Pelodiscus sinensis: one gene and its partners. The protein of the gene in region 4 purifies or fractionates together with the protein of the main gene of each other region. This does not show direct contact. Links are inferred from orthologs where the notes say so. Each region holds a gene or a part of one and is shown on either strand. Other genes may lie near its edges.

Region 1 (8,138 bases), on a different chromosome or scaffold from region 4:
AAATGGCGAGCGGGGCTTTTTTGCGCAAAAGCGCGTCTAGATTAGCCATGGATGCTTTTGCGGAAAAGCGTCCATGCCAATCTAGACGCTCTTTTCCGAAAATGCTTTTAACGGAAAACTTTTCCGTTAAAAGCATTTCCGGAAAATCATGCCAGTCTAGACGTAGCCCAAGCGTATAATTTGCCTGGGCTTTTAGATGTACCTTTCAATGGTTAAAAGTATACTAGTACTAAATCTTTCTGCAGTGTTTTACTTACATGTAATCTGCCTCGAAGTTCTCGATCATTCCTCATTTTCACATAGATTCGTTCATCTAGACTGAGTCTGATCAGATCCAGTGGCTCCTCTACAGTATTTGTTGTTTGTTGCTAAAAATACAGACAGCAGTTTTTGCGATATACAAAAGCCTCAAAAATTTTATGTTCAAAACCGGTCAGTCTCTTTCACGTATAGGATAAAGGTACCTTTCACTTTCAGGTCAGTTATTGGGTCCAGCCCAACCTGGTAGAAACCAAAAATCATTATCATAGAATGAGCATATTGTGGCCTGTATGAAATGACATAAATTTCAGTTAACTTCCTAGAGGACAGTACTATTATCACAACTGGTACCCTCTATTGACAATTTTAGTGGACAGGCCAGAAGTCTGAACAGAAAGGGTACAAAATATAGCTTACATCCTCCAAATTGAGCTCACATGGTCAAGTCTGAGATACTTTGGCAAGGATGTAAAGAAGTTTACACTGCCATTGATTATGCTGTTCTCATTGGTGGAAAATTATTTGTAGTACTGTAGCACCTAGAACAGAAGTGGGCAACCTACATCCCACATGCAGTCCAATGGGGCTCCAACTGTGGATCGCAGACCCTTTGTCTGCCTCCTTCCCCCACACGCCTCTTGTGCACTTGGGCCCTGCACTTTCAACTCCTTTCCTTCCCTCCCAGCCCATTCAGAGCACCACAAATCACCTGATTTATGCCCCATTCTCACTCCTCTCCCTCAGAGCTTGAACAGTTGCGAACGCTGGAGCGGAGTAGCAGGGAAGGAGTGCGAATCAGGTGATTTGTGGTGCTCCAAAAGTGCTGGGAGGGAGGGGAAAGAGTAGGAAATGCAGGGTTACAGGGTCCCAGTGTGCGAGGGGTGCATGGGTAATGGGAGCAAACAGGGGGTGTGCAGGCCACAAGTGGAACCCCAGCAGGCTGCAGACCACTAGTCATACTGCCCACTGAGATGAAGGAGGTCCAACTCATGAAAATCACTATTATTGGTTGCCCATTGCTGACCTAGCGCTCTAGTCCTCAGCCCCACTATACTCAGCATTGCGAAAACAGTACGAAATAGTGGTCCGTTGCCCCAAAGGGATAATGCATTGGGATCTCTGGAGTAAGTATCCAGTATTTTATAAGCTTCAGAGAGGTAGCTGAGTTAGTCTGTAACTGGAAAAACTTAAAAAACAACGAATAGTCTAGCAGCACCTTAAAGACTAACACAACATGTAGATGGTATCATGAGCTTTCCTGGGCACAATGAATGGTATATTCCATTCATCTGAAGAAGTGGGTTGTACCCACAAAAGCTCATGATACCTTCTAAGGATGTTAGGGACTAGTCAACTATCCGATAAGCAAATGCTTATCGATTAGTCAGTCAACTAGCCGATTCACCTCCACTTGTTACCTCTATCACAGAGGCAGCAAAGGGAAGGAGAAGAAGGGGTACTTCAAAGTGGCAGTGCTGCACAGCTGAACTGAGGATCAGCTGTGCAGTGCTGCCCCTTTGAAACACCGCCACCATGTTTCAGCTGGATTCCCCAGCTGATCTCGGGATCAGCTGTCTCGGGTTCTGCTGAAATGCTGCACTGAACCTGGGGTCAACTGGGGAGTCTCCCCGTGACCCTGGGTTCCACGGCTTTGAAATGCACAAGAGCCCCCACTGGGGACTCTTGTACATTTCAAAGAAGGCACACTGGGTGCAGCCCCAAGCGGGCTCTTGTACATTTCAAAGGAAGAATGCAGAAGTGCCTATCGGCTAGTTGAGTAGTTGATGGAAGTTCTATTGACTAGTCAATTAACCACAATTTAAATATCCTTAATACCATCTACATGTTTTGTTAGTCTTTAAGGTGCTGCTAGACTATTTGTTGTTTTTTAAATTTTTCCAGTATTTTATATTCCTTCCCCATTACTTCTTCAGCTTCACTTTCAACAAATCAGACTGCAGTAGAAGTACAAAACATAACAAAATCATACATCTCTTAAGCTTGATAAGAGCACTGCCAATACTGAGGCTCCAGGAGACTGAAACCAGCACTGAAATGACACTAAGACCACAGAGATGTTCGATGTTTTTCAATCACGCAATTAACGGCAAAGATCAACCTAATGAAGACTGAAACAGAAGGAAACGTTTTGATGTAAGCTGCAGTACTGAGAGGTTAAAGATTTGCTGCTCCACAGGGGACTATGGAGTCCGTCTCAAGTCAAAGGCTGCAGCTTTCTGAAACCCTAACCCTTTGCCTGCTCTGCCTTAGTTCGGCAGACCAGGAAAACGGAAGCATCTCCGGTCACGCTTGCTCAAGCCCCCATGGGCTGAGCTGGGGCTCAGGGGCGGGGAGGGGCGCGCTATGGAGGGAGCCGTATGCAGCGTGTCTTTGCTGGAGGGCCGCCGTTCCGCTACACTGTGAGCGGCAAGTTGGGAAGGGCCGGGACATGGGAAACTGGGGAGTCAAGAGGGAGAGACCCCACAGGCGCTCGCGCATCCAGCCCCGTTCATCAACCGTCCCTGCTACGGAGAGCAACGGCAACCAGACGGGAGGGATCCCAGGGCAAGGGGAGAACCGAAGCGCCCCTCCCCCCCCGGGCTCGCGCGGGCTCCGAACGGCGAGGAGAGGAAAAGCCGCTCACCTGGTCCACCTCGTCCGCCATCTTTCAAACGCGAGCCCCGCCTCTTCCCGCGCGACGCCGGCGCGTAGAAACGGCGGGTGGCGACGTCACGGTTGGCGTGGGGGGGCGGCCTCCAAGGGAGGCTAGAGCGGCCGGTGCGTTGCTCAGGCTGGGTGGTGGGGGCGGGGCTTGGCGGAGCAGGCGCGGTGTGCGGCTGCGGACCGCTCGGGCTCGTGCCACGTGGTTCCCCCGCTGGTCTGCGGATTTGGCCCCGGCTGTGCCTCCGCGTCTCCCCATTGCGGTCACAGGGCCTAGCTGTGCCTCAGTTCCCTCCCCCCACCTTTCCGTTACCGGGGGGGCTTGTCGATGTGCTCGTCAGCTCCCCCCCCCCCCCCGGCGTGGCGAAGGAAAGCGAACGCAGGTGCCCCATGTTGTTACAGATGGGGAAACTGAGGCACCCGCCCGGGCTCCTTAGGAATTAATGGGCAATGGCTCCGTGGGCGCGAGAGCCGGCCTAAGGCCCGTGCCGAGTGCAGCGGTGCCCCCGGACTGGCGTACAGTGGGGGCGGAGTACAGCTCCAGCCCCGGCCCGCAGGCACCCCCCGGGGCATGAACTGAGGACGGCGTGAGCCCAGGCTGGGCTTCGGGGGCACGCTGGGAGCAGCCCCGGCCAAGAAGGGGCCATTGGTGATCACTGCCCAACAGGCCTTTGCAGCGCCCAGGCAGCTCTGCACAAACGGCAGCCACGGGCGCTATCCGCCGCCCTTGCGGACTGCCTCTCGGCCGGCCGGGACGGAAGAGACGTCAGGCAGGAGGAGGAGACTGAGGCAGGAGCCGGCTGTGCTAGCCCAGCCTCCCCAGAGCCTTCCTGCAGCTCCAGGAGGAGGAGGAGGGCTCAGGGTGCACGTACGCTTCGGAGGTGGGGAGAGCGTGCAAAGGCCTCACCCAGAGAAGGAGGCTGCCTTCATCTCCGCTGGGTTTGCTTTGTGTCCCTCACCAGTCTGTGGTTGCCCCCCTTGCCTTGAGGAAACAGCATGGCCAAGAAGCGCAAAGGTTCCTTGCAGCAAGAGGCTAGCAGCAAGAAATTCAAGGCAGAGCCTGCTGCAGCAGCCACCAGGGCCCTCCAAACTCTCAGGCAAGAAGGAGAGGGTGAGTGTAGACGAAGACTTTCTTGAGCCAGACCCTGTTGCGAGCAGTTGCATAAGCATCATGGAGAATATACTATCAAAGAGAAGCAGCCCCTGGAACTTAGATGGCAGATTGGGGGTGGAAAATTCATTTGGAGGAATATTTCCCCTTCACATAACATGCTCATTTGGAATTACTTTAAAATGACTTTTAAATCATTCCTCTGTGCTGATAAAGGATTTTTGCTACATATTTCAATGGGACATTTAAAATCTCACTTGTCTTGTTAGACTCTCCTCTCATTTAAACGCAATCCTCTAGCCTACTGTCCAATGTGCATTTCTAATTACAGTAGACTGTGAAGAATAAATCAAACTTCTCTGATATTGTTTATTTATAGCTGTATTTATTTTGTGACATTTTTTCTGTAGGGTTTTTATAGGATTTGTTTAAATGAAACATTTATTTAGAATTGTTCTTGTCTCAGTTATTTGCTGGTTTTGAGCTTACTAAAATAAAGCTTTTGAAATATTAAACAGCAGATGAAATCCTTTTAAACCACAATCTCTTTGCATAGCCACTAAATAGTGTAGTGTTCTTTGTGGTGTTTAACTCCATCTGCTGATCTGTTGTCCCTTATACTGTATAATGTGATCATGACTGATTTAGCTTTTTTTTCCAGCCCCATTACAGTCAACATTTCAATGTTACATAAGCAAAATAGTTTTCTCTTGAGAGAAGTTTCTAGTGCTGTCAGGAAACAATCCACAATTTCTAAACATTTCCTTTGTTACAATGAAAGAGGGAGGATCAAATGATTTGATGAAGCTAAGAAAAATAAAGGTTCTGGATAGAGTACTGCTGGCAGCTTTAATAAATACATGTAATTTCAGCATATCTTTAGGGTATTATTTATGTAAAATATAAGCATGGAATTCAGGTCATTCTTAATGCAAATAATGGTAGAATTTGATTGTATATGTGTTTGTGGAAAAGGCTAACTGAAGGGAACACAATATAATCTTAAATCCTAATTCTGTATTTCTTGTTCATCTAACATTGAGGCTTATAGTTAGTATTTCTGTCACCACATCTTCATTTAGTATTTATCTCTAGATTTCACATAGTTGTTGAAGATGATGTGGTGTGACTTTCAAGCAGTCTGTTTCATTCCTTAATTTAGAAGAAGCCCTATGAAATGCTACATTTTCAGAGTGATGTGGTTTTTTTTAACTGCTTTATCTGCTGTATTGGATTTGATCTTGCAAAATGCTTAACTCCTGGTCAATGAAAGTGAAGGCCTCAGGAAATCAGGCCTCTCAAAAACACACCATTCAAGAAATAATGGTTTTAGAGTCATTGTAGGCCTTGATTGAATTCTGTTGAACTCTTCATTAGGGATGTTAAAATGTGTTTGTTTATGTAAACATGTAACCACTGAAAAATTCAGCTGTTACACATTTACATGCATGCAGGAGCTTCCCCTAGCTCCCCATATGTATACGTTAATGTCCCTTGTGTATATGCAAAACCCTTTTAAAGACTGGAGGCCATTAGGGCCTAAGAGTGTGGTGTCATGGATCAATTCACAATATTAGTGCCTTTTTAAAACAAATATTTAAAGTACGAAAACCACTCTCCTTAGTACATTTTCTCTCAAAGTTGCTTTTTAAAAAATTCATTGGATTTGAACCAATATTACTGCTTTCAGAATTGGGCCCATTGTGAATGTCCAGCAATAAATGCAGTATTGCCAGACCCAGATGTTCAAAAATGTGACTCAGACCCCCTGGAATGTATGGGGATTGGCATAAAAATCATAAGACTATAACATCAGAAATCTCTCTCCACTTTTCTTGCTTCTCTCAGGCTTCCAGGAGCTGTATGTTTACAACAGATAATCACTGCTTATTAGAAAATAAAAACATCTTAAAAGTGACCTGCAAAAGTTTCTCCAAAATGGGATCATTATTAAGTAATGAGCTGAATGTCAGACATAGTCACAAGCAGAGGAGTATTCAGCTAGTAAATGACGAAATGCAGCTTTGGAAAAAAATCAGCTCCTTCAAAATTACGTCTGCTGCCCTTCTCTACTATACTGACCAAGAATGCATTGTGGTCGTAGCCCTGATTCTGCAAACACTTAAGCAACTTTATGCAACTAGCTCCATCACTCATGCATTGACTTCAGTGGAGCTACCTGCATGAATAGACTGATCTTGTTTGTGAGTGTTTCCAGGAACAATCTGTATGTTAGGTTGGACACCAGCAGCCTCCCAGGAATATTGAATAACCCATATTGAATTAGATAAGTGGCATTTTTTTCCTTACAAAGTCACGTTGAAACTTCTTACATTTAAAATAACTTTTCCTATATAATGGATACCAATTCTGTCAAACCATGCCATATTCTAGAAAGGAGGAAAACTTTGCACATTTCATTAGGGAATTCTGCCCATCATTCTAATCTCATATGCACTTAATGTACCCATTGCAACGGGCACAGTGGTTTGATCCAGGTGTGATGAGGAAAGCATCTTGCTATTGTTGAGAGAGAATCCTCATAAAAGAGGTGATTTAAATCAGTCTTGCAAAATTCCACTTGTCTGGGAAAAGTAACTCTGGCTGTAGGTGAGTAGAATATTTATTTTTCATCCACCATTATTGATAAGGGCAGATATTATCCATTTTGTTTATTTGGGGCTGTGAAATTTCCATGATGGTTTTGCTTCAAATGCACTTTTTGCTTAATGCTGCATATTTGTGAAAATTATTTTCTAGGACAATATGTTCAATATGTTCACAGGCTGCAGAGGAAAATGCAAAACCTGCATTTTCCTCTGCAGCCTGTGAGTGATATGCTAGCTCTATTGAAGTTGTTGAGAGTTTTTTTTTTTTTTTTTTTTTTTTTTTTTTTTATTGACTGAGTTCTGTGGAGCTATGGTTTCACTTTTTGACATATCTCCTTCCCCTCTGATCTAATACAGATAATTTTGAAGGAGAAAAGCTCAGTCTGAAGAAATGTCTCTCAAAAGTTCCTGCTGGAAATAAAAAGAAGAAAAAAGATTGTGACACTGGAATTCATAGCCTGCCAGGTAGATCTTCAAGGCAAAAAGGAGCAAAGTCAACAGTGAAGGAGGAAAATAACATAGCTGTGAAAAATGAAGGGAATCTTAAAGGGGAAATGTGCAGGTAAGTTAATTTACAGCATCAGCATAACAGTCTGGAACAATATTATATTTTTTGTTAAATGTGTTTAGTTAAAACCCAGTTTTGTAAATACATCCAGGTTCCTTTAGTCATGCTCATAATCTCAGTTGGAACTATGCACTTGAGCATAATTATTTCAGGGGCATAGTTATTTGCAGGATCAGGCCACTGGAATTTAATCTTGGTGGAAAGCTAATATTTAAAATGTTTCCAAGTTTTATATAGTGCAAATAATTGTATTTTTATATGGAAGTTATCGAGTTATTTAGGCCAAATTTTAGATTTGTTTGTCTTTAAATGAAGGTAGTGTGGAGGAATGTAAAGTAGGACAAGAAGAAATGGGCTTAAATTGCAACAAAAGAAATAATCCTGCTTTGTGTGCAGGGGATCTGAAGAAGTCCCCGCCAGTCCTAAATTTCTGTGATTCTTTGACATTTGTATTTAAAAATGTAGAAGCTTTTCCATGCACTAATAGCAGGAAATAAAATGTCATTTCACTGGCCAACATGAACACATTTTACTAAATTGCAAAAGAAACACACTTCTAATTCCTTTTCTTTATACTGATGAGGCTTCAGCAAGATTAACAGTTCAGAATATGAATTCTGTAAGGCCCCGATCTTGCAAAACGTTGTATATAGACAAACTCTGTATCTATGTAGATCCCCATTAATTTAATTGGGATCATTTAAGGGTATGGATATCTCCATGGAGATCCTTGCAGAATGGGGACCTAATGTTACATACTGCACTAAGAAGACTCTTTCCCCATTTTTACTGTTCTGCCTCTTTTTATGGCAGGGATGTTATACTTCATACATACAGAGAGATACATTATCTGCACTTGTGGTTTCGCTTGTAAAATATTATAAGGCTTTGTATCTGCTATTTTTAATACAGATGTATTGTATTTGTT
Region 2 (7,916 bases), on a different chromosome or scaffold from region 4:
ATCATCAGAAGCATCCACTAACTACAATCCCCAAAAATGTCTGATTTGTACTTCCATGTTAAAATTCAACACCACTATTTTACAAAATGTTCAATTTAGCTGCTAAAAACAGTGGGAGGAGCTTACAGAAGGATAACCAGTGTGAACTAAAGTAATCCTGTACCTTCAGTCAGGGGAAAGAGTTCACTCATCTTCTGGCGGGCTCTTCTAAGCTTTACCAGCTCTCCTTCCTGGCGAAGCAGTTTTATTAGGTCCAAGTGACAGTTATAGTCAAATGCATTGATGGAAAGCTTTAAAAAGGAGATGAAGAAATGTAAGAGAGTATATCCAGCAATTGGTTACTAGGGTAGAACTTCAGAGTTCTATTTTGGACTGTGCCATCAATTCCTTCAGTGTCTCAGGTAATGGCTACACTATAGAGCTTACAGCAGTGCAACTGTAAGCTCTCTAGTGGAGCTGCTCTCAGTGGACTGGAGAGAGCTCTCCAATTAATCCACCCCAACAAGTGGCAGCTGGAGAAGATCTCTTAACAACATAGAGCAGTTCACAATGGTTCTTATGTTGGCGTAATTTACATTGCTCAGGGAGTGGTTTGTTCACACCCCGAGCAACATAAAATACACCAGTCAAAGTGCTAGTGTAGACCTACCCCCAGACTGCTCAATGTGAAGTGAAAATAATACACGCCTTTCACCAGTCTGCATAAAGGTTGTGCAATGTTTCATTGTTTTCAAAGCCCACTGAGGGTACAAAATGAAAGATTCTATTTTGGCAGGTGACTGAACTGAGCCCTTGGAGCTAGAAGCCACTGTTTAATAATGTGGATCCTCAGGTGATAAGCATAATAAGCAGGTGCCTAAATCTCACTAAGCAGTTGTGCACATTTGTCTAATCATCATTTTAGTGGTAAAACTGATGGTTTGTATCCAAATTGCAGTAGATCCCACTTTTCAATAACACTGTACAAAAACGGAGAATTTGCTCCAGTAAACTAATATAAATATCCAAAAAATGTTAGCTTCCCATCTAATAACTGGAAATAGCAAACATAAGCAGTTCTCAAGATAAAATAGTAGTTTCTGAGATGTGAAAAGATCGAAGTTCTTTTCTAATTAAGGTTCTGCCTCCCTATTCTCAATGTACGTCAAGCTCAGAAAAACATTTGTTACTGCATGGTCCACCTTGCAGTTCATTTCAACAACAGACACGCATGCTTTCCAATTATATTAGTCCTCAAGAAGTTCTATTCCTGGTTGCAACCATCAATTATTTCAGTAATCAGTGCATAGAGAAAACCCTCTGAAGTTAGCACTATTCCAGTTTGCCATAGCAATTAAAACACCAAAGAATTACACAACAGAACTATTTCATAAAGATATAACATTTTCATAATTACCATGCTGAAATTAAAAGCGAAGAGCACATTTCTGTAGAAATTCTGAAAGTGTCTCCAACTGAAAGGGTTGTGTACCAAGACAGCTAAAAAAGGTACATATTTCAATTCTCGAACAGAAACCACACATAGTTTATGAATAGTATAATGTACATACATTACACATGATTATGAAACTTTGAATTTGTTAGCAATATTAGGGTTTAACTGATTAACTGTTTAACCAATCAGCTGATGCTTATCAGTTAATGGTACAGATTACACTCAACCAATTCCAGGGGGAGGTGGTTTCACTGCAGTAGGGAAGAGAAGTTTCCTTCCCAGGGAGGACAAGCAGCTCTCTTCCTCCTCCCAAGCGAGGTAGGCAGCTTCACTGAAGGCTCTACAGTACTGCTGAACCAGTAGCACATGTAGCCACTAAGATTTTTAGCAGTTTCACAGTTACCCTATTACACGATTTTTAACATCCCTTGTTCCACTGTGTGTTCAAAGAATTTGAGACTATAAACAAACAGAAAGGATTTCTTGATATTTTACAACAGACAGCAGAATTATACAATCCTGGATTAACACTACAGAATGAATGGGTGTGAATTCCCCACACCTAAAAGTTCACCCATCTATACTATCACATGTTCCTTATTCTCTTTAATCCACTAGTTCCAAAAATCTCTCCCTTTCTTCACATGTTAATTGTGCTCCAACATTTAATGGGGGGGCCACGATACAGACTCCATCACCTATTGATTCCTTTGCTCTATCAATATTAATGATGTGTACGGCCCTAGCCCCCACAAAATGCAACTCTGCTTCCTGTGCACACACAGACAATCCCTGGCCTATAGCTCCTAACAGATGAAGGCAAGCAGCGATAAGCAAGGGCAGAGAAGGATTCTGTTCTTCTGTGCACCCTACAGAAAGCGTGGGGGCTCCTGCTGAGCAGTGACTAGCCCCCAGTCTGGATGCTCACACCCCCCAAGGATGAGGGCCCGATGCTCTGGCCTGGGCGCTACTCGCAGAGCCCCCAGGGCGGCGCTTCCCTCCTGCACACCCCGAGCCGCAGCCGCGGAGCCGCCTCCCCCTCCCCGCGCGCTGCGGGGACCGAACCGAGGGTGACCCCGCCGGCCGAGGCAGGGCTGAGGGCGGCTCCACGCGCGAGGCAACGGGCTTCGCGGGCGCACCCGGCTCGCGCCCCGCCCCCTCCCCCCGCGTGCCCACGAGCACCGGGCCGCGATCCCCACCTGCTCCTCCAGCCGCTGGATCTCGGCTTCGTTCTCCTTCTCCTCGTCCTCGCCATCCGCCGACGAGCCCGAGTCGCTCTCGTCCCCGCCCTGCTCCTCCGGCCGCCGCTCTTCCTCCGCCGCCGCCGCTACTGCCGCCGTCTCTTCGGGCCCGGCTGCCGCCGCCTCCGCCATCTTGTGCAGCTACGCGCTGCGCACTGCCTGCCGACCTCGGCCAAGCCGCGGGGCTGCCGCTGGCGCGCCTGACTCGCCCGTCCCCGCGCAGATGCTGAACGCACCCCCGACAAGAAGATTGAAGGCCCGGGTGGAGCTCGCTGTACTCAGCTCTGCAGCAACGGCTGTTTCCGATTAGGGAGTCACGGCCTTCTCGTGATGGATTCTTACAGGCACCTGCGTGGGCTGCTGAGGTCCTCCTGGGCATGTCGGGGCCCTGAAGGAGGTCCCCCTGGCCAGGGCTTGTCGGTAGGGGAAGGACCCAGGCTTGGCCGCCATATTGTGTGTGGCAACTCTTCTGTACGCAGGCTCAAAGGCTTGCTTGGGCTTTGAGCACCTCTGTCCATAGCAAAATGGCTCGGGTCTTGTTGCTGCGTCCCCGCTCATCCTCCCACAACCATAGCAGGATGAGAGCCATTGTAATAACTGGACATTCAGTACACGATGTACGTGTATCATGGATGGTGCAGGGGCTAGTGCATAAGAAATTAAATATTCTCGTCTTTATAAAGTTCCCGTAGCTGCATCACTAGAGAATGGGATATGGCATGGGAATTAAATATGGTGAAATGTATTTGCAAAGTCCACCCCTCCATCCCTCTTACCTCTTTCTGGTGACCTTGCACAAGAAATTAAAACAGATATTTGCAAAACTCCCTCTGACCTGTCCAACCTCAGTGTTCAGGATGCTGTCTAAATATTTGATAAAACTGTAAAGCATCCTAAGGCAGCAAGGTCTGGAAATATGCAAATGGGAATATGAATAAAAAAACTTGCACCTCTTCTCTCCCCCCCCCCCCCCCCCCATTAGAACTCATTCCCTCAGAAGCCAAATGAGAAACCAAGTACTGATCACAACAGAGCAAGACTATTATTAGCTCTCTGGTCTGGAATCCTGACTAGCTAATTGTCAAACTACAACACTGTATAGGACAAATTCAGGCTTTGGATAAACTGCCTGGCTACGTCTAGACTGGCATGATTTTCCGGAAATGTTTTTAACAGAAAAGTTTTCCGTTAAAAGCATTTTCGGCACAGAGCGTCTAGATTGGCACGGACACTTTTCCGCAAAAGCACTTTTTGCGGAAAAGCGTCCGTGGCCAATCTAGACACACTTTTCTGCAAAAAAGCCCCAATCATCATTTTCGCGATCAGGGCTTTTTTGCGCAAAACAAATCTCAGCTGTCTACACTGGCCCTTTTGTGCAAAAGTTTTGCACAAAAGGGACTTTTGCCCGAATGGGAGCAGCATAGTATTTCCGCAAAAAACGCTGATTTCTTACAGTAGGAAATCAGTGCTTTTGCGGAAATTCAAGCGGCCAGTGTAGACAGCAGGCAAGTTTTTCCAGAAAAGCAACTGATTTTCCAGAAAAACTGGCCAGTCTAGACACAGCCCGAGAGTGGATCATCTGTCAGCCAGCTGTTAGGTGAGTCCTGTAAATGGTTCTGAACATGGTGCAAAACACAGTTGGCTTTAGAGATGTAAGTGACTAGCCTAAGCAACTAGTCAACTATTAGGTGGAAGGGAGCAGGAGCCTGTGCTGGGAAGAACCAATTAGGTTCCCACCACCATGTCTCCACTGTGGGATGGAAACAGAAGCATACCAGTTCCCACTCCTGGCACTTCTGCTTTTGAAATGTACAAGAGTCCTTTTTTGAACCCTGATCTTCACAATTTGCTCTAGCAAGGAGTTCCACTGATTGCAATAAGCCTGGAAGGCATAAACACATATCTCAGTGGGCTGGGTCTTCCCCGCTTGGATGGCTTGTTGCTCCCCTAGGCAAGTGGGTGTGTGCACAATGTGCACCGGGCCCAGGCACAGAACAGCTGTTGGTTAAGCCTGGGTTGGTTTCTGCCGGGCAATACTCGGGTTCATCCAGACCCGGCTATTGGCTCGCTCAGGCCTGGGCAGCTCTCCCGGGGCAGCGATGCCGAGCAGGCGTGGAGGGTCCATTTCCCAAGCGCAGAGCAAAAGGATGCAAAGCGCCGTAAACATGTCCTGGGGGCGCGCCCTGCTGCACGCGGCGCTGCGCGGCCCCCGCCGGCACCAGCAGACACGTGACCGGCCGGGTTGGATACCACAGGGGGGAGGGGCCGGACACGCGCCTTCTAGCTGCTGCTCTTTGAGCCCCGCAAGTCACTGCCCTTTGCCCCTCGCGAGGGGGCGGGGCCAGGACACGTGCGGGTCACGTGGGGGGCGTGACGCGACGCGCTCCTAACAGTGCGCGGGGACAGGGCGGGACATCTCGCGCTGCCCGCTGCCGAGAGAAGATGGCGGCGCTGAGGCTGACGGGGGGCTGGGCTGCCGCTGCGCTGCTGAGACCCGGGCCCGGGGGGTTGGCAGGCCCCGCCGCGGGGTATCACAAGAAGGTCAGTGAGGGGGCCGGGAGCAGCACTGGGGGCGGGGGGGGCCTTGTAGGCGAGATGTGAGTCCTTAGGGGCGGGGCGTGAGGGGGCAAGAGGCTGACAGCAGCGATGGGGGCGGGGGGGAGTAGAGAGGGGGGAGGGGAGTAGAGAGGGATGGGGGCGGGGGGGAGTAGAGAGGGGGGAGGGGAGTAGAGAGGGGTGGGGGCAGCATTGGGGGCGGGGGAGTAGAGAGGGGGGAGGGGTGGGGGCAGCATTGGGGGCGGGGGAGTAGAGAGGGGGGAGGGGTGGGGGCAGCATTGGGGGCGGGGGAGTAGAGGGGGGAGGGGTGGGGGCAGCATTGGGGGCGGGGGAGTAGAGGGGGGGAGGGGTGGGGGCAGCATTGGGGCAGGGGGGAGTAGAGAGGGGGAGGGGTGGGGGCAGCATTGGGGGCGGGGGGGAGTAGAGAGGGGGAGGGGTGGGGGCAGCATTGGGGGCGGGGGGGAGTAGAGAGGGGGGAGGGGTGGGGGCAGCATTGGGGGCGGGGGGGAGTAGAGAGGGGGGAGGGGTGGGGGCAGCATTGGGGGCGGGGGGGAGTAGAGAGGGGGGAGGGGTGGGGGCAGCATTGGGGGCGGGGGGAGTAGACAGGGGGGAGGGGTGGGGCAGCATTGGGGGCGGGGGGGAGTAGAGAGGGGGAGGGGTGGGGGCAGCATTGGGGGCGGGGGGGAGTAGAGAGGGGGGAGGGGTGGGGGCAGCATTGGGGCAGGAGGTTGTTGGTTGTGAGATCAGCATGGAGGGGAGGTAGAGCAGAGAGGGATTGGGAGGAAAGAACTTGGCAGGGGTGAAGAAGAGGATGGGATCCTGGGAGTTGTGTGGGAAACTTGGGACTGGGAAAGGAGAAGGAGGTCTGGCTATTGTGGGACTAGGGGGCTTATGGACTCCCATGCCCTTGAAGCTGGGGCAGCGTTGGGGAGGTTCTCAGCCGTGCCATGCACTGGGCTTTCTTGCAGTATGTTTTAAACTGCACAGACGTTGTGAGCGCTTTCCTAGACAGGGACTGTAGATACCATAATCCTTGCCAATAAAATTCCCTTTTAGGTAGTGGATCACTACGAAAATCCTAGAAACGTGGGCTCCCTTGATAAGAGTGCAAAGAACGTTGGCACTGGATTAGTGGGTGCCCCTGCCTGTGGAGATGTGATGAAATTACAGGTGAGTTATCAAATAACAAACATGATTATTTCTGTGTTCACTGAGAGATCTCTAGTATATTGAATATTATGAACTGACCACGCTGGTTATGTTGACAATCATATAAGCTGTTTGCCAGAAAAAAAGAGAGGACATGCAAGTAACTTTACAAAATGAAAAGTTACAGAATATGAACATATTAGTCTTAAATGAGAACTGCCTTCACATGAAACTTCTGGTGGATAATTCTGATTTAATGGTATTACAGGTGGTAAAATAAAAAATATAAAAGAGCCTCTATTTCATTTATATATCTGATTGTTTCCCATACATTGTCATGTTATCCACTGTTAAAATGTTCTGGTGAAAATCAACAAGAATATCAGGAGGATTTAGAGGCAGGTGTCAGCTCTGAAGACTACATTTAACTCACCTTTTGAAACAAAAGTAGACCTTAAGTGGATGATGTCCATTAAAGTCTACTTGTAACTGCTGTCTTAAACCACTAGTAAAATGACTTTCCGTTTCTAGAACTAAAATGTAAATGTTTTACAGTATTCCTTGCCTTACTCTTAGGTCCTATTCTGCTACCATGGATACCAATGTGAAGGATACTTTGCCTTGATTTCTGTGAATAGGTTGAAATCAAATCATTATCAAGCTGAGTCCTCTTCAGTTATAGTACCACAAGAATGTTATGTAACCAAATATATAACACAAATATTATATACCAAATCAATGTCATTGGAATTCTTGCAGGTTGAAGTAGATAAAAATGGAAAAATTGTTGATGCAAGATTCAAAACATTTGGCTGTGGATCAGCAATTGCCTCAAGCTCATTGGCCACAGAATGGATTAAAGGAAAAACGGTAAAACTGACTTCACATCTGTGAAAGAGCATATTACACAAAAACTAGCAGCATAAATCGCTATTAATGCTACACCATTCATTATTAGAGGCTATATGTGGAACCATGAGAAGCATAGTATGAAGTTTCCGTTTTACCTAGTGTGAATTTTTTCTACAATGAAGCAGGTTAAAAATATTTCATCCCTGTCAATGAAATGTGATCTAGTTTACTAATCTTAATTTCCATTTCTAGAAAAGCAGACCTTACTTTGATAGCTTAATTTTCAAAGTGGCTTTGGCCTACATAGCCAGAAATAATTTATGCATATTTTCCTGACAGAGGATATTGTGAAGACCAAGTCTTTAACAGGGTTCAAAAAAGAACTAGTTAAATTCATGGAGGATATATCCCTCAATATTTATTAGCCAGGATAGGTAGGAAGGGTGTCCCTAGCCTTTGTTTGTCAGAAGCTGTTCATATGAAAATTTTTTGCTTACGTCTGGTATCTTGGGATGGAAGGAGAATGGGAAAGATGTTGATAGGGTGGTCAGAGCAATTTGTTTATACACAACCCTTTTAAAATGCTTTTGCACTATCAGTAAGCATACCAAAATAATTCTTTGTATGTTTCTCTCACAACCCCATCCTGAAGGTTAGTCCTCAAAACACGTCTTTCACAAATC
Region 3 (7,478 bases), on a different chromosome or scaffold from region 4:
TTATTTACATTAAAAGTTTCCTTATCACCCTTAAAAGTTTTATTCAAGCAACATATGTACGTTACCATTCAATTATGCACAGCCAGCCTTTGATTGAGAAAAATAATTACTTATAAGCCGCTTACTCCTTATTTTAACCAGCAGTAAACTGTATAAGCAGGAAAAACTTACTAGTTTTTGGTTTCAACAAGCTAGAAATGGTGAGGTGAGGCTGCCGGACTGACTGCCAAGAAGAATTTGCTGAAAAGGTTTTGCCAGATGTTGCGTTGTATTTAGTTGGTTGGCGAAGGGGGTGTTGTGGATTTTTCCTGCTTTTTTGTTAGCCGAAGGCTGCTGCTGTAGTTGTTGTGAAGACATTTGGTAAATAAACAGCTGAGCTGATTGGCCGGGAATGTGTGGGCGGTCGAGGTGGCTGCTGCCGATTTGGTTAAGGTTGGAGAGAAGGCTGAGAGAAAACAGCATGCTCGGGAACCAAAGGGCGGTGCAACCTGACGACTGGCCATGCCTGGGTCATGTGAAACGACACCAGCCAAGCAGAATGGGGCGCGCTGGTCACATGACGCTGAAAGGGCTAGTTGACTGGCTAATGCAGACTCAGAGGGTGGTGAGAAGAGACATGATGGTGACTCTGTAACGGGTTCATTTTTATTAATAGATGGACCAAAAAGCATAAAAAAATGAAAAACAAGCCATCAGTACAACCATCTAGCAGCTAACATACTCCTATTGTGGGTTTTTTATTAGCAAAAGGGACATGGTTTCAAACTTATCCTGTGAGAACTTCACTCACCTGGCAATAGTTAAATTCAGTCCTGTATGAACCATGTTGTAGGCTGAGACGTGCAGAGTTCTAACACATTCAGACACGTTAGTCCAGATCCAAGAAAGTAGGTAGTTACCAAAAAAACCCTGCTATATTTTAGGCTTGGGTTTGCAAAACTCAAATGACAGATACTGTCACAAGAGGTTTTAAACTCTTTACTAGGGTTAAATTAGATTTGTACATTTAAATGCAACTGTTACTTGTTTTAACATAATTAAACAGCTGCCTTCAAGGCAAATATTTGAATTGTTAAAGGGGAGAAATGCATTTGCATGGAAAAGTTAAGTTGCTGAATGTAATGTTTGTCATTATGGAGTAAAAGAAAGGGAACAACCTAAGTAGATGTATGGGAAGAAAGCGACTACAAGATGTGCAGATTTTAGGAAGAGAAAGGATAAGTCCAAGGCAGAGGGTGCTGGCTATCAACTTACAGTGACTTACAGACAAAAGCCAATGTTCAATACAATTTATGTTCTCTTGATTTTATATAAAATGTCTGGCATCTCCAAATTGTGATCAGGATGTTTAAGATGTTACCCATGAACATGCTTTAAAGAAAGCCTGCTTCTATGGTGCTAAATGACAACAATTCAACAGCTCTATGCACTGTCTTTGACCTAGGGTACCTGCGGCGAGGAGGAGGACTTCTTCTGCGATAATCATCTCGAGGACGCCTACCCCAGGATGGCGGCGGACCACGGTTACGACTCCGTTTTTCACCATTGGACAGCTCCACCCTGACTCGGCACCCGCAGAGAGTTCTGGGAAAAAAGTTACAGTTAATACTCTAAGCAATAAATCGGTCTGCTCTGAAGACATACTGGCACGCACTGGAAAAGAAAACATTGTGTACATATAGCACTGAAAAATTGCTAGGGAGATAATCTCAGATGGAGATTCCACTAAGTGCAGGTTAGACAAACACTTGTTGGAGATGGAAGGAACCTATGTATCTAAACAAATGCACACAATATAAAGAAGTCAGATTCAAAGTGACCCAAGCCTCTCCTGTCTAGTTACTTAACACCAAGAAAGCACAGAATCTACCCAAGCGTTTCCTGGGGATGAATTTTGTAGATTTAACTTCATTAACTATGTAGCTTTCTCTCTCATGTAAAGCTGGAAACTCAAAGCTCAATTTTAGTGAACACCTGCAGCTTTATACCTTAACAGCATTGCTGTCCTATGTCAAGACTAATGGTTAAAATAAATTTTACAGTATACCCTAGAACTCTGGCTTCTCCAATACCATTTGAGTGAAAAATCCTGCATCTCCTCTCTATGTAGAATATTTATTTTACAAGGAGAGTAACTAGAAAATGTGACTAAAATGAAATTATAGCATTTATCACAACTATAATTTAATGGAAGTCACAGTTGAATAAGTTTAGTGAAAAGCCCATACTCGGTTGTAGCAAAATCAGGATAGATTGCTCAGCTGGTTAATACTTTAAATCTAGCTGGTAGTCAAAACAAAATTTTAATATCACTTTAAAAGAGCTATTTAACATTCAGCTATCCTTATCTCTTCCACTTCGAAATTAAAAAGCTGTGTTCAGAGACACTAAACTTAGCTCCACTGAAGTAATAAATACACTTCTGAAACGTTTTATGAATACTACTATTTCATGTTTTGTTTCACAAGAATTAAAAGTTCCTTGTGAAATGTTGACTTATTGTCCATCTCTGATACTCCACATACCAGGTACAGGTGGAATCCAACTCTTCTGAATTCTAGAGGCTCTCAAAGTACTTCTAGATGTATTACCAGGTATTTGGAATTTTCAATCTCAGGCCAAGTCTATCCTAGAAAGTGTTTGCCAGCATACCAGCAAATCCACTTACGTAGAGACATCTTATCCCAACAAAACATTTCCTATACCAGATCCCCCAAATGAAAAAGTACAGAAGCAAAAGAACTACACTTTGCTGGTGTAAATGCACCTACTGCTAAGGCACTGCCACTATAGATAGAAAAATCATCCCAGCCTACATTACACCCAGCAAAGGGGTCTCAATTTGACTTCAATTACCAAGAATATCAAATATTGAGATTAACCACAAAAAAGTCTATTTACATAGTTAGCAACCTTAATTAAGAGTTATTCTGGTTTATAAATTTGAATTAGTGGGCAAGTAATTCAACAACTGAATGGCTAGTTAATCTCAATGCCATGATATTACTGGATCTTGGTTAATTTAAGTGTGAATACAAATTGCTTAATCATTGTAATTAAATTAAGTGCATAGTCTAATTAACAAATTTTACCTTCCATCTAGTTCTCTTACTGCATCAGCAGCATCTCGGGGATCTTCAAATTCAACAAAAGCAAAGCCAGGAGGATTTCTAGCAACCCACACACTGCGCAGTGGTCCATAGTAGCCAAAAGCTCGTTCCAATTCAGTTTTGTTGCCATTGTTTCCAAGGTTACCTACATAAACCTTGCAGTCCAGTGGACAAGAGTCCCGATGCATCACTAGGAAAGAAAGCCCAGTAAGTTTAAAAAGCAGATTCCCTCGGCCTACAACTGCAGTATTTCCCTCGGCGGTTAGGCTGCTGCCTGCACTGAAACGCGCAGATGCTAGGCCTGGATGTGCAAGTCTCTCCTCATCTCACCCCGTCAGGCGGCATTGCTGCGTCCTGAGACCCCAGAGACCTGCAAACCCAGGGCCGGGGCGCAGATGCCCGCAGCCCGCTGGCGCGCGGACCCGAGAGGTAAGGGGCGTCGCAGCGACAGTCGGACCCTTCGCTCGCGCGTTAACCCGCGCGCCCCGCCCCGCGGCCCCGCCCCCCGCGTCTCCCCGGCGGGCCTGGGACGGTGGCAGCCAAGACCTGCAGGGGGCGCCGCGCGCGCGCCGAGGGCGCCATTGTTCGGAGCGCGGCGCGCGCTGCCCTGCGGCCCGCCCCGCACGAGGCGCCCCCAGGCCTAGGCCGGCGCGAGCCACCAGCCTGCCCCTCCCCCGGGCACTCGCCGCGCGCGCGGGCCCGCCATGAGCCGGGGGCTCCGGGGGACGCGCCCCGCGCGGGAACCTCGCGCCCCCCCCGGGCCCGGCCTCGCCGCGCCCCATCGCCAGGGCCTCGCTGCCCCCCAGGGCCCCCGCCGCCTGCGGGCTGGGCGGCCGCGCCCGGGCCCCACCGCACAAAATGGCGGCGGCTCTTTGTCCGGCGCCTGAGGCCGCCCGGCGCCCCTCCCCGCGCGCAGCCGGGCCCCGCCCTGAGCCCCGGCTCGGCCCTCACCGATTCCCGGGGCGGACGGGGCTGCGAGAAGGGAGCACGCGCTACGCCGCAGCCGACTCGGTCCCGAGCAGGCTCCCGCTCCGCTTCTCCTGACTGGACAAAATGGCGGCAGCCGCCTCCCCCGCCCGGCCTTATATAGCCCCTCCGCCCCCTCCCGTCGCCAGCCACCGTCAAATCAGAGCGCGCCTCGCACGGGAGTGACAGGTCACGGACCCGCCCCCTCGCTGCCTGATTGGCCTTCCCGCGCCAGGCCCGTCCCGGGGCGCCCCAGGGCCCGCGGGAAGCGCCGCGCTCGCCGCTGCCTGGGGCCGGTGCCGGGCCGCGAGGGCGGCGCTAAAGGCTCGTCGCTGCCGCGGGACGGGCCTGGCGGGAGCCGCGGGGGGCGGGGGCCGGACTCGCGGGTCGGGCCGGGAACAGCCCTGCGAGGGGCGGTGTCCGGAGCGCGGGCAGGGAGCGGCCTGGGGCAGCCGGGCGGGGCGGGGCCGGACTCACGGGATGGTTCATTGGGGGAGGAGCTCCCGTGGCCGGACCCGCTTCCCCGGATCAAACAGTCACGGACACACCAACGGGCACAGTTAAAACGATCGGGGGATCCCCTCCAAGTGCAGCTTTCAGAGCCCGTGACTCATTCATGCTAAAATGTGACACTACGCCGGGGTCTCAACAAAGACGCTAATTATCTCACCCATTACAACGAGCCTCCCCAGTTATCACCTCTAACACCATTAGCTCACACCCCCCCCATCCCCCTCCTGTTCTGCAATGTGATTTGTCCTTTTCATGTGTGTTCATTTTTTTAATTGTATCCTTTGGTATATATGGTTGTGTCTGTTTTCTTCCATATATCGATCTGAGGAAGTGGGTCTGGCCCACGAAAGCTCATCGCCTAATAAACCATCTTGTTAGTCTTTGAAGTGCCACCTAGTCCTGTATTTTGCTTCATGGAAAGGGAGGGGTCTGATAGGAGGGATAACTATATTCTGCAATGACTGTAGGTGGGCAGCAAATATGGGAGACAGCTGTACTGCGAAGTGACCCCCCAGCACCCTGTCCCCTGCTGCAGAAACCTGTCCTGGCACCCTGCCCCCTCTCCCCTACCCCCACTGGCACCCTGTTCCCTGTCCCACAACCCACTAGCACCCCTCCCCAGTACTGTGTCCCCTGCTCCCAAATGACTTTTCTATGGGTCAGTGACCCCTGACTCAAGGCAGGTTCCCTGCCATTCTCATAAATAAAGACAATGCAGAAACTTTTTGGCTGTGTCTACACTGGCATGAATTTCCGGAACTGCTTAAGACGGAATACTATTCCGTTTTCAGTTTTTCCGGAAAAGGAGCGTCTACATTGGCAGGCTGCTTTTCCGGAAAAGCCCCTTTTCCGGAAAAGCGTCTGTGGCCAATGTAGATGCGCTTTTCCGGAAAAGAGCCCCGATCGCCATTTTGCGATCGGGGCTTTTTTCTGGAAAAGACTACTGGGCTGTCTACACTGGCCCTTTTCCAGAACAGTGTTCCGGAATAAGGACTTATGCCCGAGCAGGAGCAGAATAGTTTTTCCAGAATAGCGGCTGATTTTGTACAGTAGAGCGTCGTTGCTTTTCCGGAAATTCAAGGGCCAGTGTAGACAACTCGCAGCTTATTCCGGAAAAGCAGCTGATTTTCCGGAATAAGTGTCCCAGTGTAGACACAGCCTTTGTGTTTAACATAGTATTCTATTTAAAAATGAAGCCTGGCCAACAAACCCTCAATTGGGGCCAAACCCCCATCTGGCCACAACCACTCCTGCACTCCCCCTTCCCCAGACCCTAGATCTGAGCCTATCAAACACTGGAACCTCATGCCCTCAGCCCCTCACATACCCCAACCCAAATTCACATCCACAAGCCTGTGGCTTGCTTAGTATCCCAACACTGCCCAGCCTGGAGCCCCCTCCCCGAGCCAGTGTCCCCTTCTCCACCTCCTCCTGCATCCAGATTTCCTCCCAGAGCTTGTACCTCTCACCCCTTCCCACACCCAAATCCCTCATTCCCACCGCAGAGACTGCACGTCCTGTCTCAACCCAGCGGGGGTCCGGCTAGACTGCAGGAGTTTTTCAGGATTCTGGAGATATCTCAGAAAAACTCTTCTGCATCCAGGGTTGCGTTTGTTCTTCCGCTTTTTTAGTGGAAGAGCAAACAGGCTCTTTTGGTCACCCCTATATTCCTCTTTCCCCAAGGAATAAGGTGGCTTCCAAAAGAAGGGTTTTTTTTCTGACATTTGGTCCAGTGTAGACAGGCCAAATGTTGGAAAAACTTCTTCCTTTAGAATAGTAATAATAATAAAAAAAAATAAGCAGCAGTATAAGGATTGGGGATAGCAAGTGATGGAGAGGAGGAGACTAGAGAGAACGGGGCTTCAAGGAAGGGACGGGGCGGTAGATCTTGGCTTGGTCTGTCATTTAAAAAGTGATCTTGGGTATAAAAATGTTGGAGACCACTGACTTAGAGCGTGGAGCTGCTGTCTCAGGCTAGCCAAGGGCTGTGCTTAAAGGGACCCGACCTCCATCCCGGACAGACAGTTCTCAGGGGTTCCCCGCTTGCAAAGCAGTCCTGGCTTGGAGTGCCCTGAGTGCCCACACTGGGCACATCACAGCACTCGGCCATCAGCCCGGCTGCACTTGCTGCAGGTTGCCATCCGGGGAGGGGTCAGCCGGGGGGGCTGCAGGAGAGCTTCCACCCCGAGGAGCCTGCAGAGCCACCCCAGTCCTCCCCATTGGGGGCTCGTACCTCCCTCACCTCCTTCCACTTACCCCTCCCTAGCCCCCCTTCCTGATGTACAAAATAAAGGACACATGTATTCAAAAATAGAAACTCTCTTTATTGAACAAAACTCGGGGAGACTGGGAAAAGGAGGTGGGAGAGGGGAAGAGAGAGGCTGGGAGAGGGGAGGGCAACCTAAATGATTAGGGGTTTGGAACAGGTCCCATATGAAGAGAGGCTAAAGAGACTGGGACTTTTCAGTTTAGAAAAGGGGAGACTGAGGGGGCATATGATAGAGGTCTATAAAAGCACGAGTGGTGTGGAGAGGGTGCATAAAGAAAAGTTCTTCATTAGTTCCCATAATAGAAGGACTAGAGAACACCAAATGAAATGAATGGGTAGCAGGCTTCAAACTAATAACAGAAAGTTCTTCTTCACAAAGCAAATAGTCAACCTGTGGAACTCCTTGCTGCAGGAGGTTGTGAAGGCTAGAACTAGAACAGAGTTTAAAGAGAAGTTAGATAAAGTAATGGAGGTTGGGTCCATGGAGTGCTATTAGCCAGGGGGTAGAAATGGTGTCCCTGGCCTCTGTTTTGGAAGGCTGGAGATGGATGGCACGAGACAAATGGCTTGGTCATTGTCTTCGGTCCATCCCCTCCAGAGTCCCTAGTGTTGGTCGCTGT
Region 4 (7,564 bases):
AAGGAGGATGAATAGGAGTGCTGAGAACAGGAACAAGATATAAACCAGAAACCTATGCCCAAAACTGACCAGTTTTGCCACATGCTTCATCCTGACACCCAACACAGCTGCTACTCCTCAAGAAATGTCCCAGCCAGATCTCCGCAGGGGTCTAAAACAAGGCCATGTCTGCAGGCAGCTCAGCTTTTCAGATCCCACACACCCTGCAGCGCGCGCGCGCATGCATGCGCGCACACGCATGCACACACACGCACACGCACCACTTCTACCTTCCATTAGGCTAGCACTGGGGTGGGGAACCTGAGGCCTGGGGGCCAGATGCAGCCCCCAGCTTGCCTAGGTTTAGCCCGGGAGGTAAAGGGCTTCCCCCAGCATTGCTGAGCTTGCACTGGTGCTCTAGGCACCCCACCCCCTACTGTTCCCCCTGTGGGGTTGGAGCACACAAAATCTACTAGCTTGCCCCTTCAATCTCTGGTGTGCAAGGAGAATGTGGGGAGCGGCTTTCTCCTTTCCAGTCAGGGGCCATATCAATGAGGTTTTTTTGGGTGTTATTTCCCCCAATCCAAAAAAGGTTCCACACCTCTGGGCTAGCAGATCAGCTGGCTACTGCATTTCCTCACACACCACCCCATTTGCTGCCACTGGCACTTAGTTCATCCAAGAGTGGGCTCTGGACATCACACAATGTCAAGGCTTTACAGAGCAAGAGGCACCAGCACATTCTTAGGTTAACTGAGGCAAGGACGTGAACCAAATTAACCAAGGTCACAGGCATCTCCACTCCCTCTTGTGCTTGTGTGGAGGAGGACAAGTGTTTTGACTAAGGGGACACAATGCAGCATCCTCTCACCCAAGGGGCTTTACGGAGGGAAGCTGCACTGAGCCTTTTAACTGGTATCCCCCTTTGTCCCCAGGTAGCACCATCTTGTCAGTTACATAGAACTCCTAAGCATGAGGAATAGTGGCCACCTACACACACACCCCCTCCAGCAAGATGGAGTGTCTCATTTATCTCCCCAAAACAGACCCTATTATCAGCCAGAGAAACCATTCCAGAAGGATCCAGTTCCCTTATCCAAAAACAACCCCCCATACTACCAGCCTTTTCCCATCTAAGCCACTGGCCAGCCTAGGAGATGAGCTATCTACCTATAGGATGGGAGACAACCCCTCCTCTCCCCCATCTCAGATTGTCAGGGGCATGTCTTGCACCACCGTATAAACATGGGCAGTTGGGTGAATCCCCACCTCTCACTGAAAGCAACCAGGTAGGTGGCTGCTACAGCCCGGAAGGATTTTCTCCTGGCAGCCCCTTTCCCACCCAGGCCAGGCCTCTTACCCGGACAAAGATCACGTTGTCAGGGAAGTCAGCAGCTGCCCCGTCCTGGGGCACCCGGGGGGCAGCAATGGGTCCCCTGCTAGCTGTCAGTGAGGCAGGGAAGCAGCTTCTTCTCCTCTTGGGGCCAGCTCCCTCTGCCCCCTCCTCTTCCTCCTGCCGTTGCTGGATCTCTTCGGACAGGTAGTGGCGAATGTTCTGGCGGGCCGAGTGTATCAGGGCTCCATCAATGTCCAGGCCCACCACCCGGGCAGGTTTCCACTTCTTGGCAATGCTGAGGGTGAGGTGCCCTACGTTGCAGCCCAAGTCCAGCACCTCTTTGCCCTGGAACCATTCAGGCTTCATGACCCGCAGCCGGCCATCCTCACAGTTGGGGTTACGGTAGCCATAGTATTTGCAGTAGTTGCCATACTGGAATTTTCTGTGTTGTCTCCTTCGCTTGGACATGGGTGCCTGTTGTCTCCCAGCGCCTTTCCCCTTTTCTGGGCTACTCTTCCCTGCCTGGCCCCCACCTTTGCTGGCCACCAGTGTGTGGGGAGGCAGCGTCTGCTTGGCACCCCCAGCTGCCTCCGATTTGCTGCAAGTCCTGCGCCGCTTGCGGTGGCGGCTGCTGCCAGAGGAACAGGAGGGGGTGACACAGCCCACTCCTGGCTGCTGCTCTGCAGCGAGGGGGAGCAGTGGAGAGACCACCTCATCTCTACAGTTGATGGCCGTGTTAAGTTCATAGGGCTGTGGGGTGGGACAGGCCCCATTGGCCCCACATGACTTGCAGGTTGCCTGCTTGCAGTCCCCACCACCACCACCACCACCACCACCACCCCCCCGCTGCTGCCCCCGATGACGGTGGCGCTTTCGGCCCGACTTGAAGGGTGCAGCCAGCACAAGGGCTGCATCGCTATCCTGGGCATTGAGACTCAGTGGGTCCGTAATGTCCTTGGGGATGAGGATTTCCACTGGATCGCGGCCCTTGGCAGGCAGCGGCGATGACTTGGGGGTCTCTGCATTGAGGGCCTGGTTCACTTCCTCATCCAGGAGACTGTTGAGATTCAGGGGGTCGAAGATGTTGCCCCCCAGCAGGAACTCAGAGGGCAGAACCGGGTCGCACTCGGAGTTGACCCGACGGCGACGCTTGGAGGCCGGGTGCTTGAAGCCTCCACCGCCCACGTTGCAGCTGTTCCTCCTTTTGCCCCCACCCCCGGGCGGCCGGTGGGCCTGGAAGCCATTGCGAGGCCGGGGCAGCTCGCCCACGCTATCTTCCTCCTTGGGACCGGCCCTCGGGTGTAGCTCGACCCGGGCGCTCTCCTGGTGCGACCGCGGCAGGGGGCCGCTTCCGCCCCTGCACTGGCCCAATGGGGCGGCCCCTTGGTGAGACTCCGAGGAGGCCTCCTCGTGCAGCTGCATGAGGGGGCCGTCTCCGCGGCTCACTCCTTCCCCGCGCCCGCCCGGGACCGCCTCTTGGTGCGGCCGCACGACGGCTCCGCCCCTTTCGCCGCGCGGATTGGCCGGGGCAGCCTCCTGGCGTAACTCCACCGAGGCAAGCTCCTGGTGCAGCTGCCCCAGGGGGCCGCCCGCTCCGGCCGGGGCCTTGAGGGGCGGTGGCGGAGTCGGGACCAGGAAGGTCTCCTTGTCAGCCGCCATCTCGATCATCTCCTGCATCGGGGCGAGCGGCTTGAGCTCCGCCGCCGCCTCCCTCCTCCAAGTGGCTCCGCTCAACGGCCCGCCTCTGACGGGCGCCGCCTGCGCATGTGCCCTTCTCGCCCGTCCCGCTCACAGCGCAGCCGCCGTTGCGTTCGGCCTTCGCCCCCCGCGCAGGGCCCCAAGGCGCATGCGCTCGGCCGCCTGCCCCGCCCCTGCTAGCGCATGCGCGGCCCACCCGCCCGCGCGAAGCTCGATAGAATACAGCAGCGTCTCACGTCTCCCACCTCCGACGCGATGGGAAGTCGGCCCCCCCCGCCCGGGGTTGATATACCCGGAGGGCGGGACAGCTTAACGCTCCACCCCCTCCGTCGAAAGTCGGCCAATGCGGACGCACTGTTTTCCGTGCCCACGTGGAACGTTGGCCAATAAGTTCGAAGGACATCCCCCCTTTGCTAACGTCGCCCCTGCGCGCGAAAAGCCCCTCCTCTTCTTCCTTCCACCCGTCCCCGGGCCCCGACATCAGCCAATGAGAGATCGGAACGAAAGCTGTGGAGGCCAATCGGAAACCTTTGCAATGGGCCCCTGGGCGGCACGGGGAGGCCTTCGACCCCAGAGCTGTCTATGCAAAGCGCCTGTTGCGGAGGGAGTTGCCCCATGTAAATGGTTATTAAAATGGCCAAGCGGGTCTTTTGGGGACAAGAACAGGGTAACAAAGAGTTCCCCAGGGCGCGTAGAAATGAATTGAATCTGGTGCCGGTTCAGGCACTGAAGTAGACACCTAAGCGGCGCACTGAGTCCGTCGGGGTGAACCCGACCACCTATTCACCCGGTGGCGGGTATACGCCACCGGCGAGAATGAGAAGCCCCTTCCCGTGTGAGCGGCGCATTCAAAACGGGTTCGTGTGGGGGGGGTTCACCTCCCCATGAAGCCCCCCCAGGCAAAAGGCAGTTAACAGTGGTCACGTGTCCTCCTCTTCGGACATGCTGGGAGTGGTAGTTTCCCCCTAGCACGGTGTCGGACTCCGCGCCTGCGCAGAACTAATTGCCCGCCTAGCTCTTCCCTCCCCCCCATTATAGAAACATAAAAGGGGGTGGACAGGAGGGTAGTTCCCATCCGACCTGAACTTTCACCCCATTTGTGGGCCATGACCTATAACCCCAGCTCATACGAAAAAACTGGTCACAACATGATCACCCTTAACTGAGTGAACTACAACCTCTGACACTCCACCCTTAGTGATGTCATGGGGTGTTTCCCTGCCTGACCTCTGACCTCGCAGAAGTCTCCTTCCTCTGACTTTTGCACTTTACCCTCAAACTAGCCTCTCGTTCCAATTTATGACCTTTCACCTCTGGCCCAGGAGATCTGATTCTTGACTTGTTCCACCTCTTACCCTTCACTTATCCCCTCCTCCTGAGTGACCATATGTCTCCTGCACCTTCACAACAGTCTGCATAGTGGTGTGGAGCTGGAAGATGATCCTTTTATTTCAGGCAACTGGGCAAACCAGACACCCCAATGCTCCTGGCAAAAGCAGGTCCAGTCCCTGCTGGTGGGACTCTGTGCACATCAGCCTGGTACCAGACACATGGTCCACATGCACTCAAGCCATGTCTTAAAAATGGCACGCTCTCTATCCAATACCCAAGAAAACCATGTCTGGTTTTGTTGGAATACTGGACAAGGAACAAACTGTAGAAAAACAGGTCTTTCCGGTTTAATACAGCTGCCTGGTCAAAGGCTACAGCTCCTGGTCCTTATATAGTGAGAAACATCCCCTGTCCCAGAGGTTTAACAGTCTAAATAGATAGGACAGGCAAGGGATGAGAGGAAATGTAGAGGCAGGGAGAGATGGAAGTGACTTGCCTTAGGTTATCCAAAAATCTATGTGTCCAAGTAACACAATGTTAAGGACATAGATAAAGGTGAATATGCAGTATACAATTCCTTGATGCCATGTGTATGACAGTGGATTAATAAATAGCTGTACCTATTAAGAGTTTTATGTATTAAATACCACATTTAACATAATTGATAACACTGATGTAAGATCTAGCAGCATTATCTACGCTTTACAAGTCAGATATCAGTGAGGCTTTATGCACTCCTTGGCTAAATCAGGGTCTGTGTGTTCAATGTCCCATACAGTATGCCTTTCCGAGTAATTAAGGGCTTGTTTGGTTTTCAAATAAAAATGCACCATGAGCATCAAGTAAATTACTTCAGGGTAGGAATGCTTAAATTGCCCCCAGAATATACTGGTACAGATCCTCAAACATTCATGTACAGGGTCTCTAATTCCTTGCCTCTAACACAGGGGTTCCCAAACTTTTTGAGAAGGGGACGAGTAAATCCATTCACGAACTTTTGGAGGACCGGTAATGTTCATTTGCATATTGCATATTCATTAATCAAATGATGAATATTCAAATAAGTTGTTTCTGGTCCTCCCAAAACCCCCAGTGCCAGCTTTAGCAAAGCTTGATATGGTCACCCACAGTATTCTTGCCAGCAAGTTAAGGAATATGGATTGGATGAATGAACTGTAAGACAGACAGAAAGATGGTTAGATCAGGGTTTCCCAAACTTTTTACTTTAGTTGGAACCCTTTTCTTTCAGTAGTTTTTTGCAGCCCAAAAATATAAACACATAAAAAACAAACTGAGAAAATACCGGACATATAACATGTCTGGTATTTTCTCATTAGGTAAGTTTTATTATTGCTAGATATATCAGTTTGTAGTTTCGAACTGTCTGGCTGGTAAATGTGCTCAGGCTGCATGAGTGTGTCTACCAGCCAGACTGTTCGCAATTACTCGAGAGTGTGTGGGGGAGAGGGAGGGAGGGGAGAATAGAATCCTTGGTCCAGACTAACTCGTGCTTTGTGGGGGAATGGGGGGGGGCGAGGAGGGCAGCGCCCTGAGATCTACATGTGGCCGGGTCAGTCCCACTCCCCGGTACTGGGCTGCAGCACGTTGTTTGGGAAACGCTGGCCTAGTGAGATTGCGGAATCTCCATCACTGGAGATATTTAAGACCAGGTTAGATAGACACCTGTCAGGGATGAGCTAGGGCAACTCAACTTTGGAAGCCCCAGGGGCCACACTGATGCTGAGAGCCTCAACTTAAGTGTGGTTGCAAATGCAAGCAAATATATACAAATAGCTTCTCTTACACTGACAGGCATGAATACAAAGATTAAGGCAAGACTACACAACACACAGGCCCCATTTAAGTCAGTTCTGCTGATATTAATCAAATTCAATATTTATCTGATTTCTACCCACATGACAGCACTTTTCATGAGCAATGACAGTCCAAGAATTTAACTACTAAAATACATATCAACAGAAGATCATTACACTGACTACTTTTTTGTTTTGGATTCCACTTGCCGGCCACATGTTGATCCCCACATAAACCCAAACTGCACCGTGGGGCGCAAACAAACTGGCTGTGGGCAGCATACTAAGTTATTAATAAATATTTTATAAACCTTTACCTTTTCTCTCTGCTGCCATGTCTCCTCTCCTTGCTCCATCATCTCCCCTGGTGCCTGCTGCCCCCCAACTCCTCACTCTCCTCTGCTGTCCTGACTCCTGCCCTTCTCAGTGCCCTCAGCCCTCCTGCGACCTGCCCCCCTCCACCAGCCCTTCTCTCCCCCCTATGCCCACTCCTCCAATAGCCCCACTCTGATCAGGTGAGCTACCCCTCTTCTAACACCTCCCTCTACACACCTGTCCTGCCTCTCTCCTCTGGTGCTGGTCCCTCTTCTGCAGGTGTCTGCCCTTCTGCCAAGTAACCAGCTTGTTTCACTCCAGAATCCCCTGGCACCTGCACCTTCCCTTAGCCCTGCACCCTCCTGGTGCCTCCCCCTTCCTTTACTGGCCCTGCCCCCTTTTTCCCTGATACCCACCCCCTCACCACTCTCTGCCCCATTCTCCTCCTGCCCCTCTGTGCCCTCACACATGCCTTGCTCCATCCCCACCTTTCTCATGACCACCCCTTCTTTCAAGCCTTCTCCCAGCACCTCCCCCTCCAGTCCCCAATGCCCTTCCCCTCTCTTTTCTTCTCCCAGAATCACCCTGTCCCCTCTCCCACTGACACATCCCCTCCTGCCCTTTCCCTCATTGTCTGCACTTGGCCCCCTGGCATTTGTCTCTACTGCACCCTGTCCCTTGGTGTCTTCCCCTCCCAAGCCCCTTCTCCTTCCATCCCTCTCCGCCCAAGCCCAAGCCCCTTCCCTTTCCTGGTGCCTCCTCCTCTCCTCTCCTCTCCTTCCCCGCCACCGCCGCTGCCGCTGCCGCTGCCGCACAAGCCTGTTCCCTGCCTTCTGCCTTCCACGTTGTGGGGCTGGAGGCCGCGCTCAGGCCCCGGAGGCTGAACCCGGAGGCAGCCTGCAATGTGCCTCCAAAGAGTTTTAAAATCCCGGGCTGTGACATCATGTCATGCCCAGGCATCCCCCCTGCCCATGTGTAACGCCACACATGGGCAGCAGCAGCTGGCGAGGAGGAGCCGCACACGGCAGGGACGGGTCAGGGCCAGCTCCAGGCAGAGCTGGAGGAGAGACCAAGCTCCACATATTGGTGG

The links.
Region 1: the proteins of MEPCE (region 4) and LSM3 purify together in Homo sapiens (affinity purification with mass spectrometry; 3 studies listed by BioGRID and IntAct, with this or other methods). This does not show direct contact. The link is inferred for Pelodiscus sinensis from reciprocal best matches to the Homo sapiens genes MEPCE and LSM3.
Region 2: the proteins of MEPCE (region 4) and SART3 purify together in Homo sapiens (affinity purification with mass spectrometry; 6 studies listed by BioGRID and IntAct, counting the BioPlex papers as one, with this or other methods). This does not show direct contact. The link is inferred for Pelodiscus sinensis from reciprocal best matches to the Homo sapiens genes MEPCE and SART3.
Region 3: the proteins of MEPCE (region 4) and SRSF3 purify together in Homo sapiens (affinity purification with mass spectrometry; 3 studies listed by BioGRID and IntAct, with this or other methods). This does not show direct contact. The link is inferred for Pelodiscus sinensis from reciprocal best matches to the Homo sapiens genes MEPCE and SRSF3.

What each region holds. Positions count from the first base shown.
Region 1 is NC_134721.1:22,035,084-22,043,221, forward strand, and holds the start of LSM3 (U6 snRNA-associated Sm-like protein LSm3), read right to left. Parts: upstream 3,065-8,138; 5' UTR 2,927-3,064; coding exon 2,906-2,926; intron 369-2,905; coding exon 258-368; intron 1-257. Other genes in the region: XPC (DNA repair protein complementing XP-C cells), read left to right, coding at 3,919-4,033, 7,000-7,204. UniProt on the Homo sapiens protein: Plays a role in pre-mRNA splicing as component of the U4/U6-U5 tri-snRNP complex that is involved in spliceosome assembly, and as component of the precatalytic spliceosome (spliceosome B complex).
Region 2 is NC_134725.1:36,567,454-36,575,369, forward strand, and holds the start of SART3 (spliceosome associated factor 3, U4/U6 recycling protein), read right to left. Parts: upstream 3,319-7,916; 5' UTR 2,809-3,318; coding exon 2,635-2,808; intron 291-2,634; coding exon 164-290; intron 1-163. Other genes in the region: iron-sulfur cluster assembly enzyme ISCU, read left to right, coding at 5,119-5,217, 6,289-6,402, 7,141-7,251. UniProt on the Homo sapiens protein: U6 snRNP-binding protein that functions as a recycling factor of the splicing machinery. Promotes the initial reassembly of U4 and U6 snRNPs following their ejection from the spliceosome during its maturation.
Region 3 is NC_134737.1:17,175,804-17,183,281, forward strand, and holds the start of SRSF3 (serine/arginine-rich splicing factor 3), read right to left. Parts: upstream 3,299-7,478; coding exon 3,093-3,298; intron 1,585-3,092; coding exon 1,450-1,584; intron 1-1,449. UniProt on the Homo sapiens protein: Splicing factor, which binds the consensus motif 5'-C[ACU][AU]C[ACU][AC]C-3' within pre-mRNA and promotes specific exons inclusion during alternative splicing.
Region 4 is NC_134734.1:8,771,420-8,778,983, forward strand, and holds the start of MEPCE (7SK snRNA methylphosphate capping enzyme), read right to left. Parts: upstream 3,289-7,564; 5' UTR 2,993-3,288; coding exon 1,340-2,992; intron 1-1,339. UniProt on the Homo sapiens protein: S-adenosyl-L-methionine-dependent methyltransferase that adds a methylphosphate cap at the 5'-end of 7SK snRNA (7SK RNA), leading to stabilize it.